Linked DNA regions of Caenorhabditis elegans. The protein of the gene in region 4 purifies or fractionates together with the protein of the main gene of each other region. This does not show direct contact. Each region holds a gene or a part of one and is shown on either strand. Other genes may lie near its edges. The genes, in order: Y23H5B.8, lpd-3, wdfy-2 and gtnt-9.

Region 1 (7,591 bases), on a different chromosome or scaffold from region 4:
TTGACCAATAACAAAGCGAGAAACTCCTTGTTTTTTTCCGCAGACTATGGACGCTTCCGCACGCGGGAAGTTCCCGTTTTCCGCAGACTATGGACGCACCATTACAACCTCACTCATTCTCACTGAGATGTAAACAAAAAACAAAAAAGTGGTGATCTACCAAAATTCCAAAATTTTTGTGCCACTTTTTTTTAATAAGACTAGAGTACCTGTGGAAATTGAATTGTGAAAAATTGACTCTGTGCCTCCAGCAATCTTCTCCCCTGTGAAAAATTAATTGCACACAAAAGTTGAAAAAAAGTTGGCGTGAAATTAAGATTTTCTGAGAAATAGTCACATTACACCCAAAAGAGGCACCATCTAATCAGGCGCCAAAATTCAAAATATTCAAATAACAAGTTCATTCAGAAACAAAAGAACAAAAATTGAATTGACCAAATATATTTAGTTTAGCCATTCGCTGTGCGGCAGATCAACGAACTAATTCTATTGATCCTCACTTCTCTTTCGGACGGTTTTCTGTTCTTTTTCGTGTCATTCAATTTTCCCCCTCTCTTCCCATGAGTCTCACCCATTTTCTATTCGTTTTTGTTTCCTTTTCGATTGCATTTTCTGATGATTGTGATGGACATTACGATCTGGAGTACGGATGCAATAAACTTTCGTTGGATTTGATTCGAGACTGGATTTCGAATAAGCCGTTGCCCTCAGTCAAAGCAGCGCAGTCCCTGTATTCAGATTGCAGGAGAGCGTTGGTAAGTTTTGTGGGTGCAAATGCGCTCTACTGAAATTAGTGGGTGTTGTGCGGTAGAGCTTCGGATCAGAGGTGTATGGACCCCCAAAAAACTAATTATTTAAATTTGAAAAAATGAAAAAAAAATTATGTGGGTCAGCAGGGTGGTGGCGTTCTTATAAGTTTTCTTGATTTTTTTTCGCGGTAGATCCCTTGTTTTGTAGAGAAAAAATTTCTGGAAAAAAGATTCAGAGATCCCAGCAATATTTTCGACTCCAAAAAAAACCACCGAAATTTCACAAAACTTCAGTAAAATCCTTTCTAGAAATAATTGAATTTTTCTTTTAAAAAAACTGAACGCACAAATTTCGGATATAACTCCCATTTCACGTGGTGTCAGACTGTCCCATTTCGATTTGATCTACGTAGATCTACAAAAAATGCGGGAGAAGAGAGGCAGAGTTTTCAACTGATTTCGCATGGTTAAGAACGTGCTGACGTCACGTTTTTCTGGGCGTAAAATTCCCGCATTTTTGTTGGTCAAACTGTAATGGGACAGCCTGACACCACGTGTCATTTGATATTTGCATATTTTTTTATCAAGCTTTCAATCAATTGTATTATAGTTGAGAATTTTTAATTTTTCCAATTAGTTGTAATCAAATAAACCAATAAAATCAATATTCCAGAGCTGTACAAAATCTCTAAACTGCGACAAAAAAGACAACGAAATTTCGAAGAAAATCACGGATCTGGACGAACTTTGTAATGGAATTGGCGCATTTGGATCATGGTTTGGATATTGTATTCCAAAGGTATTCCAAAAAGACTAAAAGAGACAAAAACTGAAAAAAAATTCAGATTCAAAATGCCATCACATTAATGGAGTGGCCGTGCTTAAGCCATTGGAATAATGCGGTAAGATTTCTTTTTTACATAAGTTTGAATTTTGCGTGCTGTGGAGCGCATTTGCATTACAAATATATGATTTTTAGGCACAACTTCCAACATGCGAGTATTTCGAGGCTGACAATGAATGCAAGACAATGCCAATAGAAAATATATGCGGCCCCCGTGCCGTCAAAGAAATGCTGGATAATGAGAATTTTATTCGTGAATATTTTGGATGCAACAGGATCTACAAGCCTTCAAATAATTCTAGTAATAGCTTGAAAATCAAAATTTCAGGTAATCCTAATTCGAAATGAAGATGTTTGAAGAATGAAGGCAATTTTGAAACTTTTATATAATGCAATTTTGTGCTATCAACTAACTAAATGTTGACCAGATGACAACTTTTTCCTACTTCTCAACATTTTAGAGATAATCTCTGCAAGCATCTCAACAAGTCGGCCGCAGAAAAAAATGACCAATTTTTCATATATCGTTAAAAACAAGCTATCAGCTCACAAACTATCTCAAAATGGATGTATCGCAAATTTTGAATGCACTTTTTATTTAAAACATAAAGATGCACTATTAGCTAGCCCCTACAGTGGGGCTGAGCTCCTTTTGGGGCTGTGGCTGGTCTCCAGCCCCACTTTTTGACGCCGTCTGCGCACTTTCCGATAAATAGAAAAGAAATTAATCGGCGCAGAATGTGCGCAGACGCCTACCTAGTGGCACACAGGGTTTCGTTCGTTTTTCGCATATTGAATTTGTGGAATAAATATATAAATATAATAAATAAATAAATAATAAATAAATAATAAATAACTATAATAAATAACAGAGACAGTTTTATGATAGTTTGTTAGAATTTTAAAAATAAAATAAATCGTTATGGCCAATGTTTTCTTAATGTCCTGGTCATTTATAATTTCAACCAAGATCCCGGAAATCCAAACAAAGGAAATCGATACATCGAAAAATACAGAGAGTCCGCCCATATCCTGAGTTGGGCTTCGTTTCCCGGTTAAAGTTAAAATAAGGTTAAAAAAAACAATGAACACAATATAGGTGCTTTTCATTTGATAAAAAGGGGATCAACCCCCGCGAATCGGAATGTCGTTTGGATACATTATGGCTGATTTTCACAAGTCATCACTTTGACCTTATCCTCATTCTTCAACATATCCTCCCATGCTTCATCTCCGCATTGCTCTTGAACAACCCGTTGAAGCTCTGAAAACTCGTCAGGTGTCAACCAGCACTTTGGTTTATCCTCTCCAATCGTCGTGTTTTTCAGAGTAGTTACGTCGAATTTTGTCTGAAATAAAATGTTCTAGAGGATCTTTTTCGGAGAAGCTTGTAGGTACCTTTTCCATGCATTTACTGAATGGTCCGACTTTTAAGCCCAAGTCTTCACAGGCGGATCTCATGAACATTGTTCCGAATCTCAAAATACTTTTTAGTAGCTCTGGGATTTCCATTGATTCTACGCAGTTCTGAAAACTTTTAATTTTTTAAATATCAAAAAAAAACTAAAAGTGATGTACCAAATTTTGGGCGTGGCCTCTGATGCTCATAATTTTTTTGGGAGCCGTTAAACGGGCGTGGCCTTTCGTTCCGCCCACTTCTTGGTTGTGATCACAGAAGCTCTATCCAGTAGGCTTCCACGCAGGCGCAGAGAAGCCTACCTCGCCCGCCTTGTGGCGACCAAACCATTTTTCCGGAAATTGGTAAATTGGCAGATTGCCGAAAATTTTGGGCAAATTGTGCTTTTGCACAATTTTTTAAAGGAAATTTCAGAATTTCAATTTCAATCGGCAGATTTGTACGTACCTTATAAATTTTCCTACATATATTTTGAAAAGTGAGCAGATTCTATGAAAATATTTAAAGAAAACGGGAAAATTTTCAAAAAAGCACAGTTTTAAGTGTTTCCGTCTTATGAAAAAATCCCTTTAAAAACTTCCGGCAAATCGGCAAACCGGCAATTTGCCAATGTGCTAAATATTCCTTCTCGCCATTGTGTAGAAAAATGTTGAGAGGCCAGAGGCTGAGGCGGGCAGGATGAAGGCAGGCCCTGAAACCGCGCCTGCCTCCCATGGAATTTTTTTTGGCATTATTTGAAACGAATTTAATGTTCACAAACTACATTTGAGAAAAATTGGAAATCGGTGGCCGCAGAATTTCTAGGCCACCTACTACTTTTGCAGAAATTTTTTGTTGAAAATTCAATATTTTTCGAAACTCTATTTTTCAAATTTTTGCTGAAAAAAATAAAACTAACCGTTGTGTCAATGCACATATGATAAAATGTTTCCAAATTACCAATTTTCACATTTTTGCCGTGTTTCGTAGTTTCCAGCTTCAAATTATTCAAAATATTCTTCATTTTGTTGAGCTTCGTGAGACAATTTTCATAGTTTGTTTGTTGCCCGGAGACAATGGAAAAAACGAAGAAAGTCGAGAGAAGGAACAAGAGAATTTTGGCCATTTCGGTGTATAAATATTGAATAATAACAATTGAATAGCAGAAGAAGAAGAAATGACCTATCGAAAGATATATCCCTCGTCTCCGTGAAGATATATCTTCCCGGGAGATAGTCTCTGAAGTCGGGAAAACAAATATTTTGAGGTCAACGGATTCATATTTATTAGGTATAGAAATATCGATTTTTCCAATGGAGAGATGGGGAAAATCGACTTAAATTTTTTTTGTAGTTTTTTATCTGCCATCTATATTTTTTAAAGGGATATGCCAAATTTGTTCAAATTTTTTTCAGAAAAATTCAAAATTTCTGAGCAAAAGTTAGTGGGGAATTAAAATTTGAAACAACGGAATTTGGTGGAAAATTTAAATCTTCTGTGGCAAATATTGGCGGGAATTTCAAATTGTTTGAGTTAATGGGAGGGAATTCAAATTTTCTGAAACAAAAATTTTGGCGAGTAAATTCAATTTTTTTGAACAAAAATTGACGAAAAATTTTAATTTTCTCAGAAATTTTTTTGCGGGAGCTTGAAATCTTTAAAGAAAAACATTTGCGGGTAATTCAAATTTTTGATTTAAAAAAACTTGACGAGAAATTCAAATTTTCTGGGAAACTTTTTTTTTGGCGGAAAAATTGAATTTTCTGAGGAGAAATTAGTGTTGAATTAGAAAAAAAATTTTTAAACAAATTTCTGAAACAGAAATTGGCGGAAAACTTGGTCACACCACATTTTCTTAGGCCATCTGTGACGTCACTCCTCTTCCAGCCGAGATCAACAAGAGACCACTGTAAAAATTATCTAAAATTTTACTTAAAATTTATTTTTCAAAAATATTAAAAAGAAAAAAATTAAAATTAAAAAAATGTCAATGACCGTGCTGACCTTTCTTATCAAATAATCAAATCTCAACTCACGGGACCACAAATCTTGTTCGGCGAAAAATCAATTATTTCGAAATTTCGACTCTTCACAATGAGCTTGGATATGGAGCACCTCCATGGTGCCATGAATTACCGTGAGTTTAGGAAAAGTTGCCGATGGTTGCTGAGCGATCGCCGAGGATGTTGTCGGAGCATTGCCGCTTCTGTTGCCGGCGTGTCTACAAAAATCAATAAGTGTCATAATGGTTGCTGACAATCTTCAATAACTCCGATTTTATTGATTGCCGGTAGTCGCCGGCGGTTGCCGATAGTGGCCGGCAGCAGCCATTACTTGTAACAAATGGATTTTTTTTTCGATTAACGATAGTCACCGCTGACCGCCGGCAATGAAACTCTAATTTTATTGATTACTGATAGTCGCCGGCAATTAACAATAGTTGCCGCTAAGCGCCGATAAATCCAATTTTGCCGGTTCGTAATAGTTAAAGGCAATGGCGACAGTTGCCGGTAATTATCGATTGCCAAAAGTGCCGGAAATATCAATTTATCTCAATTTCCTTGTTTTTCAGTGTGTTTCGCTGCTGCTGCGTCAATTTCTGGAGCGATCATTGCCGTCGGCTGTACCACCGGACATCGTGAGAATTCGCGTGGTGGCAAAGGAAAATCGGCGAGATCAAAGCGATCGAAACGATCAAAACGAGACAAGAAGCAAAACTCGAAGAGACAACAAAACTCGAAACGACAAAAGAAGATTAAGGTGAGTGGAAGAGTTATTTCTCGGCCACTGTAACAACCATCTTTTCAGAGCAATTCTGCCGCTCCGGCACCACCGGCCAAGAGTGGAGTGCCTGCAAAATCGGCGGAGAAGGCAAAGGAAGGATCGCAGAGATCGGCTCGACTCAAGAAGGAGCAGAAGTCCGAGAAGAAGAAGGTTTGTGTAGATTTACGGAGTACAGTGTATATTTACGAAGCTCTTTTGTTTCAGAAGGAGTGATCGCAGAGATCTGCAAGATCGAAGAAGGAGGGATCACAAAGATCGAAGAAAGCGTCTAGCGAGAAGCCAGAAGTCGAGAAGAAGCCGGAAGAGCCGCCAGTCGAGGATGAAGCGAAGACTCCACCAGAGAAGCCGAAGGTTGAGGAACCGGCTCCGGCTCCAGCTCCGGCTCCGGCTCCAGCTGCTGTTGCTCCAGCTCCACCACCGCCAGAGCCAGCCGTCGTTCAACCGGAAAGCCAAGCAGGCGTCGAATCGATCTATTTGGATTCTGGAAAACCGTCGTACGATGCTCAAGTGCAGAACGCTCCGTCCAATATTCAGTCGACTTATCAGAATTTGGGATGATCTCTGACCGTTTCTCTGACAACATCTGAACTTATCCAAATGCCCTGAGAATTATAAAAATAAATGATTGTATTTATTATGTGTTTTTTTTCTTTGATATACGACAAGTGAATGCGCACTCTATTGAAAATGCGCCGCCTCATTCCGCACCGGAGGTATGGCCGAAGTTTGGATTTCTCTTCCATGTCCTCAACAGGAGACTTGGTGGTGAAAGGGAGCCGATTTTATAGGCAGCTTGTGTGAATTTACAGTTGATCTACAGTTTTTTCAGTGTAGTCTTGTAGATTTACGAAAGGGCTTTTAGGGGTTTTGCGTAGTTTTTACCGGGCTATTTAGTAAAATTACGCAGCTGTAAGTAATTTTACGTACAGTCACTGCCATAAAGGTATGGAAAAGCTCAGTTCAAGCTCATTAATAAAACTGTCATAACTCGAAAACTAAAAGATATTACATTTAGAGTACATTTAGAGTACAAGAGTACATTTTCAGCCCTACCTTTTAGTGCGTATTTTATTATTTAATGAAAACTACCATTTATAGGCAAAAATAGATGGATTTTCAAAACTTTGAAAATTCATAAATCTCTTCAAAGTAACTTTTTTTGAAATGTCTTTCAGAAACCTTGTAGTAAATTTTAAGCTCTTTCAGAATATACTAACAATATTTCAGTATCAAGTGCGAGATCTTCGCTCAAAACCAGAGGAAACGTCGCCCTTAACAGCTTTAATTTCGGACCAACAAAAGTAAAAAAAAAACCGGCGGAAATGATACAATTTATTAGCGACTATTTGGTTTTCAATAGGGTTCAATAGAGTCTTCCTATTTTCACACTTATGGTCCAAGGTAGCACGATTGATCGGTGCGAGCCTTGAACACTTGTCCTCCTGGATTGGTGTTTCCTCCGGATCCTTGTTGCTGGTTGTTGTTTGATCCACCATTTCCACCCTGGGCGTAGTCCTCACGGGCGTATCCAGAAGACGACGCATTGGATCCCATGTAGCCGGATCCGTATCCACCGGCTCCCATGTAAGCGGACTTGTCTGCCATTTCTCTCGTCGATTGTAAAGAGTTGAAAACTCGATTTGAATTTTTGACTGATTTGAAGCTCCTTATATAGCCAAAGATTTAGGTTATTTAAAGTTCTTTCGACTTTTCAGGATAACACATCCGAAATTATCGAGAAATAGATCTCTAGACTACAAAAAGTAGACAAATTATCATATTAATTGACTTTTTGGTCTCGCGAAAATTACCGTTTGG
Region 2 (8,321 bases), on a different chromosome or scaffold from region 4:
ACCTTGAAGATTACTGTAGATTTTATTGAATTTTCTTTAGATTTTTTCGCATACTTCTTTCTTTTTCGATTTGTAAGTAGTTTTTCTTCTTTTTTTTCATTTTCATAACTTTTAAAACACAATTTTCGAATCAAATTATCGATTATTCTTATAAGAGCTTACCTTGACTCATCATCACAATTGCATTCTGGATTCGCCTTCTTTTTCTCGAAAACGGCTAGAATTTCCACATTTGTCGGGATCTCCTGCGTCATATTTACCGCTTCTCGGCACATCGGACACGTGTCCTGGCTTTTGAGCCAATCAAAAAGGCAAGAGTAGCAGAATGTGTGACCGCAGTTCTCCAATAGTTTTGGCAGGTGCTGGAAGTCATCTGAAAAATTGGAAATTTGAAAAAAAAACTGCGAATTATGGCAGAAAGACTAGACTAGTAGAGAAAAAAATACTTACCAAAATCGAAGAAGCAAATTGAGCATTCGAGGCGGGAGGCCATTTCTAGAGAGACAACACCGCGCAACGGGTGGGGCAAGACTGATGAGAAATACTGCACAGCTGCAATGAGTACATCTGCCATTTGGAGACCACTCTATCGATCGTCTAGGGTCACAGTGCGCGCGTACGCGGTGGTCCCGAACACACAGCTGCTGGTATTTTTTCATTATATTGTCACTTGATGGTACAGAGAGAGAGAAAGGGAATGTTGTATCACTTGTAGCAGAGGTGGACGGGAAACGATTTTTCCGGCAAATCGGTAAATTGCCGGATTTGAAATTTCCGGCAAACCGGAAAATTGTCGGAATTGAACATTTCCGGCAAATCGGCAAATTGCCGGATTTGAAATTTCCGGCAAATCGGCAAATTGCTGGAATTAAAATTTTCCGGCAAACCGGCAAATTGTCGGAATTGAACATTTCCGGCAAACCGACAAATTGCCGGAATTAATCAGATCGGCAATTCGGTAATTCAGCAGTTATCCAACTCCAAAATTGTTCAAAAAATTTAAAAAAATTAAAGAACCAAAATTTATTTCCGACAAGTGTAAAGCATAGTACATTTCCTTATTTCTTCTTCTTCTTTTCCAACTTTCCACTAACTGTACTGGCTTTCGGCGTTTTTGACGCAGAAGACTTTGGCGTTCTTGGCGTTTTGGCGTTTTTCGGCATTTTGGCCTTCTTCGGTGTTTTCGAATTTTTCGAATTTTTCGGAGTTTTTGCGTCTTCCTCTTTCTGAAAAGAAAATCTCTAAATTTCCGGCTCCAACATATCCAGCTCACCTTTTCATTCATTCTATCAATACGTTCTTCTTTCTGTCCTGGGAGTAGATCATTAGCATTATCAAACAGTGCACTGGGCTCTTTGAGCAACTTCCAAATGTCATCAAGCATTGAAGTTCCCCGTGGAATTGTACGCGAGAGGGACACTGAAAATTTGGAGAAATGTTAATTTTTCTCTAACTTGTATCGCTTCTTCTCGAGGTCACGGCCTCGCCCCAAAAATAGACGGAACTTCGCTGCGAGACCCAAACAAATTTTTGCGAATACTAACTTTTAAGCTTCGGGTGCAAATCCCTTCCGGCCATCTCGTCCACCGCGATTTTCAGTTTTTCAGCAATTTGACGAAGTCTCAAATCATACTGAAAATCATGAATTTTTGTATGGGTTCTAGCTCTGAACACTTACCCTTCCAAAGATTAGGTAAAAATTGAAGAGGGCAAAGATAAGATTGAACAATGAAATTGTCATGTTGAAAATGCCTCCAATTGCCAAAATGCTAAAAAGATTTTAATTATTTAATTAATTAATTAAATTTAGTTTCTAGCAACAAAATCTAAGAAGAAAATCTCACTTAAATCGATATGCCATTGAATATTCCGTCACATTAATCGAGAAGGCTTGCATTTTTGCTAAAAGAGAGCTTGATTAATGTTTTGGAATGTTGGCACCGGAATTTGAAATTCTACGATTTTTGCCCTAAAATTACGGTACGCGGTCTCGAAACGAAAAGTTGAAAGAGTACTGTAATTCCTCTGCAGCATTTTCATCAAATTTTACACGATTTTTTCGATTAAAAATCAATAAAAATACCACAGCAACAAAGTACCGGAAATTACTGTATTACGTACATAGTCACGCGGTACCAGGCTGTCCCGTTACGGTTTGATCTACAAAAAATGCGGGATTTTTTATGCCCAAAATTATGTGGCTTCAGCACGTTCTTGACCATACGAAATCAGTTGAGAACTCTGCGTCTCTTCTCCCGCATTTTCTGTAGATCTACGTAGATCAAGACACTCTGACACCACGTGCGTAGTCGAAAATCAGCCACACTGGACGCACAAGGTCCTACGACGAATATATAACTACGCTGCGAGACCTTGCTTGGCGAAATTTCTCATTTTTTGACGACTATGTAATAAGCTTTTACATGGAAAGCAAAGTAAACTGAATACCGTATTAAGAAGGCGATCGCAAATCTCCTTAATTCAAGAATTTTGCAATTAAATTCAAATTTACCATTTCCGGGAACAATGAAGCCAAGTTGAATGATGACTAGGATTTGTGCACACTTGATTATGTTGCGATCGATCATACTTCACTCACTTCTTGAAGAATTCAATAACAAGAACTGAATAATTTCATTGAAATTTGGGGAAAAACCGAAAGTGGAACACGTTTTTCCAGAAAAATTGTTGAGTTTAGAAGGTCACGGAGAACTGAATCGATAAATTTTTTAAATTTAACGTTTTATTTATTGAGTATTTTTGTTTATCTCCATTAAAATTCACTTTTTGCTCTTAAAATAATCTTTAAAAAATGCACAAAACCTGTGTGAAAGTTGAAAATTGACTAATTTTCGCACTTTTTCAATTGTTTTAACAAAAATAATATCGATTTTCAGATAAAACAAATAATTGTCTATATTTTATCATTTAATTTCACTTCAAAACATTGGGAAAACAATCTAAACTGACTCTTTTTGTAAAATTACTGATTTGAATCCCCGCCAATTGGAAAAGTGCGATGGGGCGCGTTTTCCTCCCATTTTCAGCAGTGTTGATTTTTGTTTATTTTTCATTTTTTATGCTGATAATGTTGTTATTTTATTATTTTTTCGCGAATTTTAATGTTTTTCTGCTATTTTTCTCCGCATTTTCTCCCAAAAAAAAAAATGTGTTTTTCATTTTTCAGTTAATGTCAGTCGGCTACTACGGGTTCTAGGCGGCGGCGAAAACGAAAAAAAATGTCGGATTTCGATATTCAAATCAAAATCGACGATGCTCAGCTCGATTTAAAAGGAGTTTCATTCTGGGTCACGGCTTCTGTCGTCACACTTTTCCTGGCGTGGAGCACGTTTGTCGTATTGTTTTTCTCGCGAGTCAGCGCACTCTTTTTCACTTTTGTTATAGATAAGTGAGTAAAACTGAAGGTTTTTTGCTTGAAAATGGATTAATTTCGCAAGGAGACTTCTTAGAAATTGCTCAATAAATTTTTATGGCGATTTAAAATTTCGAAAGTTGAAAAAATTGGCTAATTTTAGCTAAAACTCTCCAATTTCGCAAGTTTTCCGTTTCCCAGCGGTCGGAAATTAATTTTTATTCGATTATTCTCCTCTTTGATCGCTTATTTCTCGTTATTCGTTGATTTAGGTACATTTTAAGCTTTAATTATACCTAAATCAACGAAATAACATGAGATAAGCATCCAAAGAGTATAATAATCGAATAAAAATTAATTTCCGGCCACTGAGAAACGGAAAAACTTGCGAAATTTTAGCTAAAAAGATTTTTGCTAAAATCAGGTTTTTTTCCAAAATTTTGAAATTTTGAACCGCCATAAAATATTAAGATATTTTTGATGCAATTTTTAAGAAGTTTTATTGCGAAATTAATTTATTTGGGCACTATAAAAGAAAAATCCAACAAAACTGGCGGTAAAAATCGAAAAAAAAAATCATTTTTCAGATATTTGCGATTATCAAAAAATGGAATCCATTTCAAAATCGGTGGTATTTCGATCTCAGGCTTGCACGCCGGCAAAATAATGTTTCGAAACGTAATTTATGATAATGGAGATATGACGATCAAAGTTAACGATGGACATTTATTATTCAAATATTGGAAATCTGTGGAACATCGACATTTGAATCTTTCAACGTTCGTTATTCCCCTAGATTTTGCGATTTTACAACGAAAAAGTCGATTTTTTCGAAAAAACTACGGTTCCTCGACACGACAAATTTTGGCTAAATGCCGAAAGGTGTGTGCCTATAAAGGGTACTGTAATTTCAATTTTATCGACTTTTTATAGTTTTTTAGTTATTACAATTATTATTAATTTGAAAAAACCAACAACAAAAAAATCGTGAAAAAAACTATTTACGAAGACATCTAAAGGTGAGAATTTTCGCCATATCTTACGCTAATGGGTCTCGCCACGCTGAAAACGAGTTACTGTAGCTTGGGTCGATTCATGGTCCGATAATGCATAATATTTTCAATTTAGTTTGATGAATATTATTCAATAGCGGCCCATAAAGCTACAGTAGCCAATTTTCAGCGTGGCGAGACCCATTCTCGTATGATATGGCGAAAAACTCATCTGTAGATGTCTCCGTAATAGTTTTTCTCACGATTTGTTGAAATTTATGTATTTTTATCGATTTCTTATGTTTTCTAAAAATAAATCATAAATTTTTATCGAAAAACTATGAAAAATCTATGAAAATTCCACGAAATTGAAGTTACAGTAATCTTTAAAGGCGCACACCTTTTCGCATTCAGCCAAAATTTGTCGTGTCGAGACCGGGCGCAAAAGTGGCAGAATTTATTTGTTAAAAATTTGCAAAAAATGCCAAAACTTTCTCAAATTTTGTTTTCAAAAATTTTATTTTTTTTTTGCAAAAAAATCCAATTTTTCGCTAAAAAAAATCCTATAAAATTCCAGAAAACGAGCTTCCCGATTACATCTTGTGCTCAACGGATTACACGTTAATATCTACAATAATCTGACAAAATACACGGAAATCGCGAGAATTCGGAGATTTGATTGGTTTTTCGAGAATACGAATATGAACGATGCACGGCGGCCTCAGACGAAGCCTCCTGACACGTAATATTATCGAATTTTCGTGCAGATATTTCTAAGCCAATGTTCAGTTGTAGATCACCTCCGTCGTCTGTATGGGAGAATATGTGGAATCTATTGGGTATTGTACATATTGAAGTGTCTGCTGGATGCATTCTTGTCGGAAATAAATTCCTACCCTATGCTCTATGGACACGATTTGAGAATTTGAATAGTGAGGTTTTAAAAAAATAATTTAAAAAAAAACTACGATACCCGGTCTCGAAACGAAAAATTCCTTGAAATGCGAAAAGGTGTGCGCCTTTAACGAGTACGGAAAACACCGAATTTCGTAATGAGAAGTTCTGAAAATTTCTCAAAAAAAAGTTATGGCGGCTCAAAAAATGGCCTAAAATTAGTTAAAATTTGAAATTTGACCTACTTGTCAAGCGGCTAGAAACTAACTTTTTTGAAATCACCGTCAAATTTTGAGTATACAATGTAATTATCCTGCGTTTTCAACTCAATTTAGGTATTTTAAAGTCGATGGACGGCGAGATTTTCAATTTTTTTAACCACATCTCGCGGTCCATCGTATTTAAAATACCTAAATCGAGTTGAAAAACCAAGATAATTGACGTGAATACTCAAAATTTGACGGTGATTTCAAAAAAAAAATTAGTTTCCAGCCGCTTGACAAGTCGGTCAAATTTCAAATTTTAACTAATTTTAGGCCATATTTTGAGCCGTCATAACCTTTTCTTGAGAAGTTTTCAAAAAGTTTCATTATGAAATTCGGTGTTTTCGGGCTATTTTAAGTCTAATAATGCAATTAAAAATTCGACCACACCAGCTGTAAATAGTCAAAATTCGAATTTTATTATACAGGCCCGAAATTTTGCTCCGAAACTACGATACGATACTGGGTCTCGAAACGAAAAATAATTCTTGTAAAATGCGAAAAGGTGTGCGCCTTTAACGAGTTCTGTAGTTTTAATTTCGCAGAATTTTTTAAAACGATTTTCATTTTTTTTTTACTGCAAACATTAAAAAAAAAACTCGAATGATGAATTAAAATTGAAAAAAAAAATTCTGAAAATTCAATTATGAAAAATGTGCAAAATTAGCCAAAAAGTCGTGAAATTTTTTTGATATCCTTAGTTTTCTCGCAAAAAGGTGTTTTAAGAGTTGAAAATAGATCCTAAACATAAAGAAAACCCACAAAAATTGCAAAATGACCCGAAAAAATGATTTTCAACAGGTTAAAAAATTTTAAAGCTACATTTTGACCTTTATAAACCGTCAAACGAATGAGTAAAAAACATTTATTTAAAAAAATAATTTTGAGGCAAAACGAGTGTAACAGAATCGGCCAACGATCGAGCTCTACTCACATTTGAAGGAGAAACGGAAAATGTCGCTGTATCACTTATCAAAAATGAGCAATTCGATTTCACAGCAAAAGATAAAGATCCGCCGAGAACAATGGGAAATGATGGATGTCCATTGTTACAGTCAGCGTCGTTGGAATTTGTATATAAACAGGATTTATTAGGTTGGAATTAGATGGAAATAAATGGAAATTGAAAATTGGAAAAACGATTGGAAAAAACGAAATTTTTCTGGAAACTCTGAAAAATTGAATATCTTAAAGGATTTTTCATGGATCCTCTAGATTTCAAAAAATTTAGATTTTTTGGGGATTCTGTTTTAAAAAATATTTTTAAAAAAGACAGAAGTGACCGAATATAAATTTTTTTTTTCAGTGTTTAGTTTTGCAAAAAATTTCGAACAACTGGCTTAAAAGATATTTGCTTCAACTCTGAAATTAGACTAAAAATCATATAATTTAATATTAATTTTAGCTTTTCTTCAAGGAAAAATTTCTGAAAATGAATGATTTCTCAATTTTTTCGCATTTTCAGAATTTTTTCCTTTACTTGACGAAAAGCTAAAATTAATATTAAGTTATATGATTTTTAGTATAATTTCAGAGTTGAAGAGCAAATATCTTTTAAGCCAATTGTTCGAAATTTTTTGCAAAATTAAAAACTGAAAAAAAATCTCTTTCTTCTAAAACTGGCTAAAACTAGACAAAAAGTGCGCGAAAATCTGTTTTTTTTTTGCCGAAAAAAAACGAGGCTTTTCAATTCGAAAAATCGATTATTAAAAAAAAAACAGAAAAAAAATCGAATTTTCCAGCGAAATATCGTAGAATGAAATATTTTTTCGTTTTTTTTTTAATCGAAATTTCGAAATTTAAAATTTTCGATAGTTTCTGTTACTTTAAATAACATTTTCTAATTTTTCTCGATATTTCAAACAATCGAGAAATTTTCAACGATTCTCACAAAAGTTTTCGATTAAAAAAATTCAAAAATATTTATTTTCTCGATATTTCGGGGAAAAATTCTCGATTTTTTGAAATATCAAAAAAAAAAACGTTCGAGAAAAATTAGAAAATTGTCTTCAAAAAAACAGAAAAATCGGAAATTTGACCAAAATTTTGCCCAAATGCTCAAAAAAAAAATTTAAATAAATTAAAAAATTTTGCAGGTTACGTAACAGACGATGAGCCGCAAAGCATAACCTTAAAACTTCCACTCTGGTCATCTGAATGGCGTTTTGGTAACAATACAGTACTCTCCTATGGTCCATGGGCTGAACAACAACGTTTTCTTATTTATTCGTTCTTCTATCCACCCGATTTTCAAAATTCGACAGCGACTGCGATGCCGACGAGAGGAAAAAAGAGGATTCATGTGAAACATGATGTGAAGATTATTTTAACGAAAGAAACTTGTATGGATATTTGGTTTATGCGTGGAGAACAATTGGAGAGTATTAGAACTCGATGTGGACCACTTAGTAGTCTTGATGTACGTGTTTTGTGGTGGCTTTGGATTTTATGCTGAAAACGCGAAAAAAAATGTTTTTTTTTAGTTTTTAGAAAATGGGTTTTCCGATTTCCCAAAAAAGGAAAATTTTCGTTTTTCAATTTTTTTTTGTTGAAAAATCACAAATTTTGCATAAGTTTGAAAAATTTTTTAAACTGTAAATTATAGAAAATCTGATCACTTCTCGATTTTCGAAAAATAATTAAAAGGTTTAGTTTTTTTTAAAATTAATTCTTCGATTTATTGGAAAATTTTCACTTTTTTTTTCTTGTTTTCGGTAATTTTTCAATTCAGAAAAAATGAATTCCTATATTACACACATCAAAATTAGCATATTTTTAATAAATTTGGTTTGAAAAACA
Region 3 (7,689 bases), 5.5 Mb from region 4:
CAACACAATTGCCACATAGAATGGAAACAGGTATCCTGATAGAATTGTTAGAAAAATAGATCCAGGGATAGCGAAGGACTGTAGAAATACGTAGACGACAATTACACCGCACAGAACTACTGAATAGTTGTTCTCCTTGTACTTCGAGAGAACTCTGCCCAGCTGCTTAGCGTCTTCCAGATTCCTGGGATATTTCAAATGAACCTTCTCATCTGCCGAGACTTCAGGAAAATTGCTGTATACAGCAAAAATTGAGACCGCAAAAGTGGCGAAAATGAGTAGAACAAGCCACGGATGTGAAGTTTGGGATGATTTTGTTTCCATAATATCTGAATGTTAAATTCTTTTGTGCACGGACATTACGGGTGAATTAGTGTAAAGACAACATTAAAACATAGAGATGGGAAATAAAAAGATAACATGATTAAAAACTATTTACGAAATACATCAAAACTCGATTTATCCTGTAACATACGTAAGAAGTATGTCAAATTTTAAGAAGATAATCGTAGATTTAGGATTTTTACTACAACAAAGCCTCTTAACCGAAAATTGTTCACAAAGTGTGTTTAATAAAAATCAAACAAATAATTCGAGTTTTTCCTGGATTCAATAGCGTTAGTGCTTCACATTTAATTTAATCAAACAAACTTATGCAAAACTATTTCGCAATATTACTATTCAGATTTCTTTAACTGTGAGAGTTAATCTATATATATATATATATATATATATATATAATATGTTCTTATATATGTTAACTTTTCCGAAATTCTAATTGTGTAATTGAAAAGTTTTGGAAAACAGGTGTTTTCGAGAAATTTTGCAGAAAGAAATGTTGCATCTTTACTTGAACTAGATTTTCTACTCTATTCTTAATTTATTTATATCAGTATATGTTTAAAATAACGTCAAAAGCGGAAACATGAAACAAATTGATTCAAAAGAGCTCTATAATCTTGCGAAGACAGCGGAGGAGAGAAAACAGCGGTAGAGAAAGCAGAGAAAAACGAAAATCGATAATTTCGGATTCAAACTCGACGAGAATGCTTTAAAATTGAATTTATATAAAGAATACTCTCGAAAACCGTGAAAAAATTTAATAAAAATAATCATTAGTGTATATTATTTAGAAAACGGCTCTTCGGTGCGGGACCCGCCACCAAGAAAATTCTATGCGCCTTTAAAAAGTCAGCCGTTTTTATTTATTGATCATCTGATTTCTAAGATTTCTGCTGAAATTAAAAAGGTTTTCATTTAAAAAAGTAATATTTATTGATAATTGTTGCTCGGATAACTTTAAATTTATTTTCTTATAATAATTGCATCATTCTCTATTGGAAACGCTCAACAATATATCATTTTTTAGACAAAATGGAAACAAACTTCATTGGTGACGACTATGGACCGCTCTTTCACTACCAATATCGTCTTATCGTTATTGGGGATTCAACAGTTGGCAAATCTAGTCTTTTACGGTACTTCACAGAAGGAAAAATGGCCGAAATCAGCGACCCAACTGTCGGAGTAGACTTTTATGCAAGGATGATTGAGTTGAGGCCTGGATATCGTGTTAAATTGCAACTATGGGATACAGCAGGACAGGAAAAATTCAGGTATGTGGATTTTTTTAAAAAGAATATTAGCTGATTAAAAAAAATATTTTTAGATCAATTACAAAATCCTACTATCGGAATTCTGTTGGAGTCCTTGCAATCTACGACACAACGAATCGAGAAAGTTTTGAGCATGTTGAAAATTGGGTTAAAGAAGCAGCATTAAATTTGGGTGGTCCAAGCCCATCGAAGTGTGTCTTCCAATTAGTCGGAACAAAAAGTGATATGGATTCACAGCGACAGGTAATTTTTGAACAAAAGTTGTGTTTAAAAAATTGGTTAAAAGCTTTCAGGTAAACTATGAGGAAGGCGAGTACTTTGCCAAGTACCATAAAATGAAGTTTATCGAGACGTCGTCGAGAACAGGAGACAATGTTAATGAAGCTTTTCATATGATTGCACAAGAGGTTTTTTTGAAAATGTTTCAATTTTATGATGTAATTTTCAAATTTTTAGATTCAAAATCGAGTCGACGACGGAGAACTGCGGCCCGTGGATGGCTGGGAAGGCCTTAAAACTGGTATTATGAGGTCACAATCCGTGTGCCTATCCGAAAGAAGTTTCCCTCAAAACAGCAGCGCAGGAGCTTGCGGATGTTGATAATTTCTCCTCAATTTTTTAATTTTCCCCGTAGTCATAATTTCGCGTAGCGTTCTTATAAACATCAAAAACTCAGCTATTTTGTGTACTTCCTGTGAGCTTTCTCCTTCATCCAGTGTCACCAACCTCACCTACTCTCCCGGCATGCATTCTTTTGAAATAATTTCTAGTCGTTCTGTCCAAAAACTTCAAAAAAAAAGATTTTTTTTCAAACTTTGTTGTAAAAATACAATTTTACAGTCGAAAAACTAGGAAATTATCGGGATTAGAAGAAAAGTAAGAATCACAATCACTATTCAGGACAACCTGTCAGGGGTATCGGGAAATATTGGTAAGTTTTAGAAGGTCTTGATTTGACAACAATTGGTCTTGGGGAAGGATGGGCATTTTGAGAGTGAATATACAAAATAGAAAGGAGAGGAAATAAATTAGATGAAATACAAAGAATTATGAGAAATTCGAGAAGTAGAAGCAATTGTTTATTGTGATCCAGAAGGGGCAGAGCAAACACTTCGAACATCCCAAATCATAATCACACGATTCTGTCCACTGGTAACTAGAAGTCCGAGAGTTTCCTGGAGATGCATAGCAGTGATTCCAGTATGGATTTCATGTGGAATTGCAAGTGGAGTAAGGCTAAAATTGAAAATAAGTTTCATCAGTCATTTGCTTTACAACTTACTTGAAATTCTGTGGATTATCTTTCATTCGTGCATTGCAGTCATTACAAATGCGAATTTTCGTCTCATATCCCATTGGTGGATAGGTGGTCCAGTTGTCACAGCAAGATCCACAGACTGCTGATCCACAGGTTCTGCAGTGATGTTGTCTCAATCCGACCACTTTCCTCTGCCACATTGCTTGAAGATTCCAGAAGAACGGTTGATTGCATTTCTGACAGCAATCCGAAGTTTTCCATTCAGGAGTCTCAACTCTCTTGCAATTCATGTCCCAGCACATGAGCTTTCCGTGTTCGTCAGCCGAGAACAGACGTTTGGCTGCTGGAGCTGCGCATAGTGTTGTCACTTTTCCATTGTGTCCGCTGAAAAAAACATTTTTTAATTTGGAAAAATCTATTTCAACTAAATATAATTCAACTTTTGCGCTCGAAAAACATCAACACTTTCGAAATATCACGTAAATTCCAGAAATATACACTCACTTAAGCTCATAAGCTTCTCCTCTTCCTCCTCCGATATCCCACATTATGATGAGATGATCACTGCTTCCAGAATACAAAACTTTCTTATTTCCGTCCCATGTGAGCGAGGTGATTGCATCTGAAAAATCATTGAACTAATTCAAACCACAATTACTAATTGTATTGATTGTGGGGAATTTCAGGAAATACTGGAATGTTATACTTAACAAATATTTTTCCTAGGCACGATAGCATTTAAAATTTCGAATTAATATTTTACTCAAAAAAAAAGAATACGATAAAAACTCACTCGTATGTGCACTAAGCTTGCTGACAAGATTTGGTTGATTATCGACAATACGAAGAACAGTGACATGCCCACCATGATCTCCAACGAATACAAATGGAAGATCAATGACCATTGCTGTACAACTATTTTCCAAAAGATAACTTCCCATCTTATTTGAATTTTCTGAACAATGCCAGACGATAGATTTATCTCGAGAACAGCTGAAAATGAGCTCGGAGGAGAGTGCAAAGCCGAGTCCAGAGATTGGTCCAGCGTGACATGTCCATTTTCGGGATTCTGTCATACTGTTAAAGTCATCGGCAACACTGAATTCATAGACATTTCCATTGATAAGTCCGACGAGCAGCCTGAATAAAAAAATTAAAAATTTAAAAAATAAAACGATTTAAACTTTAAACTAACTTATAAGTTTCTTCACTGTAATAAAGACTTGTTGGAGCAACTGGCATGAAATGATGAATTGACGGCCAAAATTGATCATTATCTCTTTTTAAGTACAGGCGAACGGATCTATCATCACTTGCAGTCCAGACTCCTTCGTCTTTTGATAGTAAAATGACGTCATTGATACGAGCCACGTGGCCAGTGATTCTGTGAAGAAGAGCTGAAAATTAAAATAAATTCGAAAATTACACAGGTTATGGAAATCAAATGGTTCGTTTTCAATTCACCAACCTGGTTTGGCTCCTCCCATACTTGATTCGCCCTGTTCGACGCGTTGATTGATTATTGCAGCCATAATGGCTGAAAATCTGAAAGAAAATCAAATTGAATGCCAATAAATGACACATAAAGTTTAGAGGACGGAATGCAGATGTTTAAAGCAAAAATCGATAAAACCACGTGTTCTCGCCCGTTTGTTTACACTTCTGCACCTTTTTTACTTTTGTTACTATTTCTGAACTAAATATTTCCTTGTGGAAATTGAAATTTTTATCAAACTAATTTTGCAACCGGTCTGGAAACAGATGAATCAGTGCCCGGTAAATAACGGAAAACCGGTGCGGCCGAGAATGAACTTGTTTGGTGGACTCTAGGCCATTGGCTGTTTTAAGGAGGATATTCAAATTAACAGCAACGTTTGAGCTTTTTATTTAATCGTAATATATTTATTCGCATGTTTCTATAATTTCTCAACAGGAAAATGACTGTTCGTCACGAGGAGTACATGTTCAGCTGTGATTTGAAGTGAGTTTTGCGGTTTTTATGTGAATTTCGTAATAATTTTGAAAAAAAAGTGCAAATGCATAATTAAAATTTAAAACAAACGAGAAAAATAGAGAAATTTAATGTTAAAATGCGCAAATAAAGAAAATAAATGACAGTACCGCAATTTTTTCAAGGCGCAAGAGTCAGAAAACCAGACGGGTCCCGCAACGACTTTAAACTTTTATGAATTTACAGGCCTAGATTTTCTTACTGTACTAATTTTTTTTAAAATTTGAGTTATATTTGAAATTTTTTGCAGAAAACGCCGAGTTTTCGAAGAACAACAAGTTTCACGGGCTCTTTTGAATTTTCGATGGACAAAACATATTCCTATGGGTTGTGATCAGACGGGGAAAGGCCATCAAGAAGATATTAGTGCGATTGATATAGATGATGGTGACCAAATGTTGGTTTAATTAGGAGTTTGTTTAAAAAAAATTGATTTTTCAGGCTACTATTTGGATCTCATAGTGGTTCAGTGTCAGTTGCCAAATATAAATACTTGGATCGTAAAAAGTGGAAGAAACCTATGACTCTGTATGTAACAACCGCAATAATTCTAAAATTTATCAAGATTTCAGAAAACTTGCGAAGCAATCTCTGAAAACAATAAAATGGTGTCCAATCGATCTTCGCCTTTTCATGGTTACAACAGCATCAAATTGGATGCGAGTTTGTGATAGTACCATGGAAAAAGTGGTTCATGGGAAACAATTTGAAGGAGATGTTTATTTTGATTGGAATGAGTATAATATGACAAATTCAAAAGTTGCCGTGGCAGATGGAGGGAGATCAATGAAAATTATAGATTTTAGGTAAGCTTTAAAAGTTCCACGAAATGCCTGCCTACGTGCCTGAAGGCTAGTGGATCTTGTATTGAACAAGAGCTATATTTTGTTATGACTGCCTAACTTTCTAAAACTTTGGTCTTACAATTTCCCCTGGTCGAACCTCTTGTCTTAAATTTTTATGAATTATTTCAAAATTTAAAATTTAATTAAAATTAATTAACATTTTATATTTCAAAATAAATATCATTTCAGAGTCGGAATGGATCTACCTCAATCGATATATTGGAATGATGAACCAATTGATGTTGTACAGTGGTATCCATCAAAACATCATTACTTATATGCAGGACGACGAGATGGAACAATTGGACTATTTGATATTCGGAGCACACGTGGAGCAATTGCTGAGAAATCTCTTCACAAATCACAAATTTATGGACTAAAGTACTTTATTTTCAAAACTTTAAATTGAAGGTATTCTAAATCTCATAAATTCCAGAATATCTGCCGATGGACATCGTCTCATCTCTGCCGATAGATCGGGGTACATTCATGTGGCAGATACGTGGGATTTCAGCACAAAATTTGATTTTTCCTGTGAATTCGATCCACTTATGCAGCGTCGTCCAAATTTGGAATTTATATATGAGAAGGATTTTTATGTGGCAACGAATTTTGAAAAACTGACGATCATTCGGTTTTCTGATAATGATAAATCAAGAAGAAATCCAGATTTTCGAGAAGTTGAAGCAAAAGTGTTGTGGGATAAGCCCTTCATTTTTCGAAAATCAAGCTATGAGGTAGGATACTGAAAGTTGTTCAAGAATGAAACTGGGTGATTTTTGTTTCAGATAATCACAGGCTTCAACTACAATCATCTGAATATTTTATCCCTTGACAGATCAACCAAAGATCAAGACGAAGTATAGCAGGTCGCAACCAAAAAGAAAACACATTTTATAAAATTCTTTAATTTTTATTTTCTGGTCGCAAAATTTTTTACGAGTTTTAATACGATTTTTAAAGATGCATATGCACATGAATGAATATTTTCTAAAATTGTCACTCAAGCACTTCAAAATTAATCTAGTAAACATCAGATGTAGGCACAAAAGCTCGCGCCTGCCTTCAAGGTGGCCTACGTCTAATTTGTGCCTACTTCATAACTACACAAAAACATTTTTCACGTTTGAATTCAATGTTCGAAACTTAAATGAGTTCAAGCAACATAAAACTAAACAGTGCAAACAACAAACAACATAATTCACGCCAAAATTCAAACAATAGGTCGTAGGTAGGCTTCTAGGCAGGCAGGCAAGAAGCATTGAAGTTTTGCTGTAATTGGAGAAAGTTCAGTAATGTACAATGTATCACTCTAGAATATTGTAGCTTATGAAATATATTTTTGGATAGATTATTTATTTTGTTTAGAACTTTTTTTTGACAAGATACCTGATTTCTTGTTTGAAAACAATGCGAACCAATATTTTCTAGTCCATTTAAGTACATCAAGGTGACCTGTCCCCGTGTTCTATTCACTCGACACCATTGTTTTATACGATATAAAAGGTGTGAACATAATTGCACATATGCTCTAATTGTGTGCTCCTGTTACGTAATGTTAACAAAAGCGAAACAGGAGAAGACACACGCCTGAGACTCATACACCTGAGATGGGAGGGGGGTCATCGTGTGTGCACACATGATTAGTGTCTGTTTGGTGATTCGATTCCCTTCTCTAGTCTTTTCCTTCCGAATCCGCCAGTGAAACATTCCAAAGTGATATTATGTTTTATCACAAACTCACGTATTTTTATCGTTTTCTCTGGGGCTTGCCAAGTAGGCAGGTACGTGTTCAGGCGAACCTAACCGCCTACCGCCTATTTTCTGAATTTTTTAAAGAATGAACTTTGTTTTTTTTATCTCCTAAATGAGCCGAAATATAATCTTTGAAATCTAAGTAGTTATAACAACTTATATGTGCAATACTAATAGAAAATATACGGTAGTATAAATATATCA
Region 4 (7,431 bases):
TCAATTAGCACATTAGCTTCCGCAAGTCCAGGAGCTGCTCCGACTGCAAATGGAAAGTATTTTCCTGGGATACTTGTGTATAAATTTTCGTTGATTTCGTGCATGGGATCGGCCCCAAAGAACTCGGATCCTTCTGGTAGTTGCTGAAAACTGGATTCGTTAAATTAAATGGCTAGAACAACAAAACCTGAAGAAGCTTCTCCTCTGCTCCGGTATCATGTCCGATGCCCAGAGTGACTATGGTACTAGGTTGGTTCTGAGCAAAAAAGGTTGTCAAATTTTTCTCCACAAATTAAAATTTTAAATACCATTTTTGGAAGTATATGTCTTTTCGCCTCGTCAGAATTCAGAAAATCCAGAATTGGTAAATATTTCATTTCTTTGATATATTCGCATCTTCGGATCCCGTTGAACATGTTGTCCCAAAGCTAAAAAATCATTGTCTTTGAAATTAGTATTTTGCTTTAAATGTGAAAAATGTACCGTGAAAACCTAATACAACTGTTATCTTATCTTGTGAAATTGAGTCGCAAACTTTGGAACAGTTTCATTCTATAAAAAAGACCAAACAATGTTAAATATTTCATTTCAGACCAAAGGATATCCCTATGAAGTTGAGGTAGGGACAAGTCTAAGCCTAAGCCTAAGCCTAAGCTTTAGCTACTTACCTCGTCTGGATAACCTTCAAAGTGTGAAATATTATTCATAAAACAACTGTGCCAAGCGTCATAGTTTTCCTCCATTGTCTTAATTCCAGGATTTTTGGAACTGAATTGAAATCTCGACTGCGTCCGTATATAACACAGAAAAAATAGAAAAATAGTCGAGAAAAAAACTAAAGCTGAGCTTTGCCGCATTTTTGTGAAATTTAAATGAAAATGGAAATGACTTAAATAGCAAATCTGCTACACTTCAGCCTCAAAAATTCAGGAACGAGATAATCTTTTCTTTCTTTGATTTCAATCTGGATGGCGATGAGGATCGCCAGATAAGCACTCAAAGAAATTCTGCGAAACATTTGCCATTAAAGTTTCTAAAATTCGGCACCTGGCATTCAACAATGGACATAGTTCTTCAAAAGTTTAAAACTCGATGTTTTATTTTCTCCCAGCAACTCTTATCAAAAAGACACGGTTTTGACCGCATCGATCGGATTGCGTTACTGGCAGTTTTTGTGGTGGCACTGATCAATTACATCTCTTTCCCAGAGCGGAGAAAGTTTCAGTAAGCTTTGAAAAATTTTTCTAATTCCAGTAATAATTTTTTTTAGAATACCAGCAGAGTTATATGCATATTCTCCAGCTATTCTACCATATAAGGAGTTCTTCTTTCCGTGAGTTGTTCGCCTCTGTCAAATCATAGTAAAAATCCTATTGGGGTATTTTTTAGTTTATCTAATGTTAATAAAATTACAGGGAGTTGTTTTTGGCAATTTTTATTCCAACGAATTTTTTTATATTTTGTACTGAGAAATAAAAAATCTCGTTAGTTTTTAAAAAATGTCCGGAGAGTTTCTTGTGTTCGATATAACTTTGATATCTAGTAAAATAAATTCTTTGATTTTCAGTATAAAATCTAAATTTATCGGAAATAAATGTCAATTGCAATAATTTTTTTTCAAAAGTTTAAACGGTATTCTGTCTAACAGCATTTGAATAATACTTGTGTTCAGTAATCCGACAGTACCCCTACATTACTTCGACACCATTTAGAATTTCAAAATTTTCAAATTCAGAGACACAATTTGAGTTGTCAATGTGCGTTGCACCACTCTAGAGGATGAGCCGAAGTGGTTGACTGCGTACAGTATTATTACAGTAATCCTATAGCTCCTCTACAGTATCTCGGTACTATTCCCGGCAAGCTCTGACCGTAAACTTCTAGTTTTGCCAAAACTACAGAACTATTACAGTACACTACAGCTCCACTACAGCATCTCGATACTGTCCCACACCAGCCCCATATAACTTTTCAAAAGCTCAAGAGACATTGTTTCCAAAACTACAGTACTCCTACAGTACTTTTTCTAATAAAATGTTTTCAGAACTCGAGATGTTCAAATCCTAATCCAAGGAATCGAACATTCCCCTGCCACGTTCACACTTCCAACATCCGGCCAGATATTTTGCTTCGTTGAAACTTCTACAAAATATTACAAAGACCGTGTCCCATCAGTTGCCTCCACGTGGCTTCCAAGGTGTGATCACGGACGATTCTTTACAAAAACTCATCTTCCTTACCCTGACATTGCATATTCTACAGTTTACCGAAATCTAAGGGATACCTATGATGATTTGTTCCGAAAATCAATATTCAGTTTGTATTACTCATATACCAGCATTTCAAAACATTTTGATTGGTACCTGAAGACAGATGATGATACATTTGTGGCAATGGATCATTTAAGGGAGTATCTAAACACTTTGAATCCAGCAGAACCTTTATACTTGGGATATCGATTAGCACCTTTCATGGTAGGTTGATTGCAGGAAAGGACAGAATTAACTGAAAAGTTGTTTTCATTCCAGAACAATGGCTACAATTCTGGAGGCTCCGGGTACATTTTGTCGAACGCAGCAATGCGAATGTTTGTGGAACAACTCTACCACAACGTAAGGCTATGTCCTTACGATAGAGGAGAGGATCGAGGAATGGGAAGATGCCTAGAATCAGTTGGAATCACACCTTCGGATACTAGAGACGATCAGGAGTTGAACCGATTTATGCCATTCAGACCGGCCGAAATACCCATTATTGGTTCCAAGTGGCATTATTTTCCATTGAAAGTGGGTTGATATGGCCCGAAACCTTCAAATAATTATTTTTCAGTATCCATTCATATCGAAAAAGTTTGTGACACTTCATCGAGTTCCTCCGGAAATGATGATATCCCTCGACAAATCACTTTATTCAGAAAACGGAGAACCAACATTTAATGTTACAGATTTCTTCAATTATTAATTTTTTTAAAGATGATGTAGTTTTTAGCGATAATTTTTGAAGATAATGTTTTAATTATTAAATAGTTTTTCAAAAATAAATTTTTGTTCTCTTTGTTGCTTCTAATGTAAATCTGAAAATACTTAACATTTGTTCAGTCAAAAACCTTGGTGTTTACTTCAGTTGTGTCGATTTTGAAATTTTTCTTTAACGAGTTTATGCAAGACTAGTCTATTAAGTTTTTCTGGATTTGTTAATAAAAAATAGATGTTGAAATGCAAACTGATCAGCGTATTGAATGCTGTTGTGTTCTGGAATTTTTCATTAACGAATCCAGAAATAAACCTGAATAGATATTAATCAGCAGGCTGGACTTTTTCACGCTTCTTTTTATTTTCGAGAAAAGATTGTAGGAGATATTATAGAGTTCGATAGAGATCAATATTTAGAGAAAGTCGAGACATGTTTCAGGTAAAGAAATTATTGCAAAATAAAACAAAATTTTTTGAAAAAGAACAAAATGTTGAGCATTCAAACATATTAAGAAATTTGGAACGAATTGGCTAATCAGTTAGGCTTAAAGGCCCTAAAATGTGACAAACCACAAAACTGCACATTTGCAGTTGATTTGGTATCATGCATATATACAATTAAATTTTATTTTCAAAAAGAAAAATTTGATGGTTTTAGAAAAAAGTGAAGTCCCTCTTTTCTATTTTTACCGAGAAATTTTTAGCGCGCAACATCCGTGTAGACCTGGGCGGCACGAGATTTTGTAGATATTATCGGCTTCATTGAAATGGAACAAGGCTTCACAAGCCTGCCAATCTCACTTTGCCATGGACATCCCGATCAAAATGAAAAAAGTTCAACGAACGGGTACTTTAATTCTCTCAATGATTTTTATTCTAATTATAATTTTGTACAAGAACTATTCAAACGGACGTTGCACGGAGCCTAAGTCCAAAAACTACAATTCTAAATATTGCATAAATGAAATGGATCGATTTGATTGGTATTCCATGAAAAATCAAAACTCGGTGAGTTTTTTCAAAATTTGAGCTTCATATTTCAATTTTCAATTACAGTCTATACCCGCCACAGAAGTTAGCACTCTGTACGCTTATAAATTTGAGCATGAAATCACAATTACACTATCATCCTGGAAATTTATTGGGTAATTCTGAAAATATATAAACTTTCAACATAGTTTTTTAGCTACCGAGTTCACTGCCGGTACGTCGATAAGGATGGCGCAGAAATTGGTCGTCCCTATGAAACTTTTTCATATCCGGAGTTTGTGGTAAATTGCCCGAAGCGAGACGGAACTTATGAAATTGGGTTGAGTGTAGAGGAGTTTGGAAGCTTCAAACCATTACCAATAATTTATCGCGTGTTGAAAAGTAGGTTTTTGTACCCCTACAGTAATCCTACAGTACCCCTACAGTATTTCTACAGTACCCCTACAGTAACCCTACATAAATTTTACACTCCCACAATACTCCTACAGTATTTATAATACACCTAATTTAAAATTTCTCAAATTCAGAACCCTTATTTGAATTGTCCATGTGCGTTGCACCACTCTATGGAGACGAGCCGAAATGGTTGATGTTTATAGAAATGATTGAACACTACAAACTACAGGTAAGACCTCACTCCGGCCTACGCAGGCAGACCTTTTCTGTGCATACCTCATTAAATTTTTTTCAGGGTGTTGAGCATTTTTATAACTACATCCATGAGATTTCGGATTATGACTCTAAAGTTATTGACTACTACGCCGGACTTGGAATCGTCGAGAATCACTATCTCCTCGAGAAAGGTCTGAGAACTGATCGTCATCGGCATATCAATGAAGTTGTGGTAAGTACTTTAGGAGTCTCGCAAACTGAAAAATTTGGAAAGCTTGAAGGACTGCAACATCTGGTCTCGAGGTCACTCAAAATGGACAATCTTCGCTGATTTAGACGAGCGTCTAGTGATGACCGACTACCCGGGAACAATCTTGAACTATATCCGAGAAGTGGACGATGAGAAAATCGGTAGCTTGAAGTTCAGACAGCAATGGATATTGAAGACAGAGCTGATGCCACAGGAATATGAAGGAAAAGATCAGGTGAATATAGTGCTAGGCTTAACTTTTAGAAAATAATGATTCAGCTGCTGCAATGGATGGCGGCTCACCGCTGGCACAATTCAACCGGAATCGCCCGTCCTGGACACACAACCAAATGTATTGTGGACTCAACAAAAGTATTCATAATGTCAATTCATCTAGTAATTGAATTCTTCCCCGGGAATGGGTACTATGAGAAAGAGCTCAAGCCTGAAGAGGGACTCGTCAGGTATTTTTTGTTATTTTTTACTTATAATATTTTTCAATTTCAGACACTATCGTGACCAATCACTTGGAGAATGGGGAGAGAAGTGGTTGAAAACCGTGATGGAATTCGGTCCTCTGAGAAATACTGACTATCCTAGAAAGTATATAGGAAATCTCACGGAAAATGTTGTAAATACTGCTGCAATTGTATACGGGAATCTAATTATTTAATTTTTAAATTTATGTGGCTTTATTTTTTTGTACGTTTAACATGTACTTTCTTTCAATTTTCATTGGCACAATTTTAATATTACATAAAGCTATAGTGATAATGGTTAATTAATTTTCAGAAAAAAATAAAGATGGAGTACTGAAATCTGAGACATTTCAGACCCAAAATGGCACAAAACGATCGAATTTTGAAATGCGGTTCAAAGTTTTGAAAAAACGTTTATTTTCAGGTGAAACATCAAATTTTGCTAACTTTCTGAAACTAATAAGTATGTAGATCAGAGTAATGGTACTATTTTAAAAAGCAACCTATTCAATCTGACCTAATATTCAAGCGACACATCGCTTCTGAAAATAGTGTCAACGCGCCGGGTCTTTTCGGAGATCAATATCTTTTTCCCTTTTCACTGCAACCAAACTACAATATTCCGTCCTCCCGTTGTGTACTTTTTTTTTTTTTCAGAACATGTTTATTATTCCTTTACAACAGCAATTAACAACGGGCGACTAAGGGTGATTTTCGAGCAAGTAGCAAGTGGGAAAGGATCTTCGAAATTCCAGGAATATTTTTTTGCACTGTAGATTCATTGAAAACTCGAAAACTGATAAATATCTATTGAATCTTCTCTACTCACCGTACCTTTGTGACCCTATTAGACATCTCGTCTAAATAATTTGTGTCATGGTCGATTTTCAAAAAAAAAACCCTCGAAAATATAATTTAGATACTCTGAAAGGCTGAAATTGCTTTGATCAAGTTGGATGGCGATATGTTCATTTTTGGAGCAGTCTCTTGCATCTTCCACATATTTCTCGAAGCTTTTCGACCTATCCTGAAGTTCCCAATTGTTCCCAATTTTTTCTAGAATTTCCCATTAAATTTACAGATTTAAACAAATCCAGAATTTTCAGGAGTACTCTAAAGTTTCCTGGAAGTATTAATAATAACAAGAAGTACGCAAGTATTTTGGGGCAAATGGGATTTAAGTCGCAGTGAAATTGATTTTTAATTATCAATAATTTATTTGGTTACAGATAATTACATAATATTTATATAGGCATGCCAACCTTCAGATGCAGGCAAATCAAGTCGTGATAAATGTTCTGAAAGTATATCAAGTATAAAATTGAATTGAAAATAAATTAAATACCGTCACTGTTACAATTTGCAATGTTATATTCCCGAGTCGAATTGCTATGTCACAATCGTCCATTTTAAGTTGATTCTGATAATAATAAATTTAATGAAAATTAATTTCATTACAAAAATTCTCACTTTATAATAATTCCTTAATGCTGAACTGACTCCATCATAATGATCCTCAGCTACAGTTTTCATTGTCCGAGAAGTTGAGAAAAATCCCAGTTTCCAAATGCAAAAGGCTTTGAACGCTGCGAACTCGTAGATGTTCAGCTTCAACTCAGCGAATGCGGAGCCCAGAGTTGACTTGACTTGTTGGAGGAATTCAGTTAGTCTGCTGGAACAAGAACTCTATATTTTAATCATTAAGCTTAAATACCCACTCATCTCGTCCTGAAACTTCTTTAAAACAATCTATATCCGAGACCGAATAAGCACGAACAGAGTCAATCCATACATTGGCGAATTGAACATATTTCAGTAAAACCTTGAGATCTTCCTGTTCCAAGTGATCTACCCCCGGACAGTCAATACATGCTTCCATTGCAGAACCGTGTTCATGAGCAGTTATTATCATCAGCTCGTTGAATGATTTTGCAAGGAGAATGTTCTGAAATATTTAAATTTTGGCTTGAATACTCAGCGGGAGTTCAAATTGCTTATTGGTCGGAAATTGACCAACCTTTGACACATTTCTCCTTTTTTGACTCATTGTCTTCTCAACTTCTTCCAGATAAAATTGCAGCAGATCTTCATGATGAATCTTCAGAATTTTGCTGAATCCAGAGTATGT

Evidence for each region.
Region 1: the proteins of gtnt-9 (region 4) and Y23H5B.8 fractionate together in Caenorhabditis elegans (co-fractionation; one large-scale study listed by BioGRID). This does not show direct contact.
Region 2: the proteins of gtnt-9 (region 4) and lpd-3 fractionate together in Caenorhabditis elegans (co-fractionation; one large-scale study listed by BioGRID). This does not show direct contact.
Region 3: the proteins of gtnt-9 (region 4) and wdfy-2 fractionate together in Caenorhabditis elegans (co-fractionation; one large-scale study listed by BioGRID). This does not show direct contact.

Annotation. Positions count from the first base shown.
Region 1 is NC_003279.8:2,544,213-2,551,803, forward strand, and holds Y23H5B.8 (T20D4.11-like domain-containing protein), read right to left. Parts: upstream 4,188-7,591; 5' UTR 4,116-4,187; coding exon 3,909-4,115; intron 3,121-3,908; coding exon 2,992-3,120; intron 2,943-2,991; coding exon 2,754-2,942; 3' UTR 2,174-2,753; downstream 1-2,173. Other genes in the region: Y23H5B.3 (T20D4.11-like domain-containing protein), read left to right, coding at 561-755, 1,423-1,548, 1,595-1,651, 1,729-1,941; nspd-8 (Nematode Specific Peptide family, group D), read right to left, coding at 7,163-7,378.
Region 2 is NC_003279.8:3,595,596-3,603,916, reverse strand, and holds the start of lpd-3 (Bridge-like lipid transfer protein family member 1 C-terminal domain-containing protein), read left to right. Parts: upstream 1-3,187; 5' UTR 3,188-3,239; coding exon 3,240-3,409; intron 3,410-3,960; coding exon 3,961-4,152; intron 4,153-4,942; coding exon 4,943-5,107; intron 5,108-5,154; coding exon 5,155-5,297; intron 5,298-6,410; coding exon 6,411-6,617; intron 6,618-7,618; coding exon 7,619-7,941; intron 7,942-8,321. Other genes in the region: Y47G6A.31 (RING-type domain-containing protein), read right to left, coding at 163-373, 451-493; Y47G6A.3 (uncharacterized protein), read right to left, coding at 1,059-1,226, 1,274-1,419, 1,545-1,632, 1,679-1,769, 1,845-1,902, 2,513-2,588.
Region 3 is NC_003280.10:9,316,595-9,324,283, reverse strand, and holds wdfy-2 (WD repeat and FYVE domain-containing protein 2), read right to left. Parts: upstream 4,420-7,689; 5' UTR 4,407-4,419; coding exon 4,343-4,406; intron 4,272-4,342; coding exon 4,070-4,271; intron 4,015-4,069; coding exon 3,668-4,014; intron 3,497-3,667; coding exon 3,379-3,496; intron 3,259-3,378; coding exon 2,899-3,258; intron 2,853-2,898; coding exon 2,696-2,852; 3' UTR 2,406-2,695; downstream 1-2,405. Other genes in the region: egli-1 (Transmembrane protein 41 homolog), read right to left, coding at 1-324; Ras-related protein rab-39, read left to right, coding at 1,375-1,616, 1,670-1,859, 1,910-2,023, 2,073-2,216; csa-1 (WD_REPEATS_REGION domain-containing protein), read left to right, coding at 4,812-4,855, 5,136-5,282, 5,327-5,413, 5,458-5,691, 5,920-6,111, 6,167-6,467, 6,519-6,596. UniProt on the Caenorhabditis elegans protein: Plays a role in coelomocyte endocytosis.
Region 4 is NC_003280.10:3,842,549-3,849,979, forward strand, and holds gtnt-9 (Glycosyltransferase family 92 protein), read left to right. Parts: upstream 1-3,779; coding exon 3,780-3,980; intron 3,981-4,028; coding exon 4,029-4,117; intron 4,118-4,158; coding exon 4,159-4,343; intron 4,344-4,489; coding exon 4,490-4,587; intron 4,588-4,653; coding exon 4,654-4,806; intron 4,807-4,855; coding exon 4,856-5,059; intron 5,060-5,103; coding exon 5,104-5,288; intron 5,289-5,331; coding exon 5,332-5,497; 3' UTR 5,498-5,595; downstream 5,596-7,431. Other genes in the region: C17A2.7 (Methyltransferase FkbM domain-containing protein), read right to left, coding at 1-143, 188-256, 309-428, 669-857; C17A2.3 (N-acetylgalactosaminide beta-1,3-galactosyltransferase), read left to right, coding at 1,061-1,224, 1,271-1,333, 2,045-2,474, 2,529-2,786, 2,830-2,961; nhr-72 (Nuclear receptor domain-containing protein), read right to left, coding at 6,548-6,601, 6,649-6,723, 6,774-6,975, 7,022-7,248, 7,321-7,431.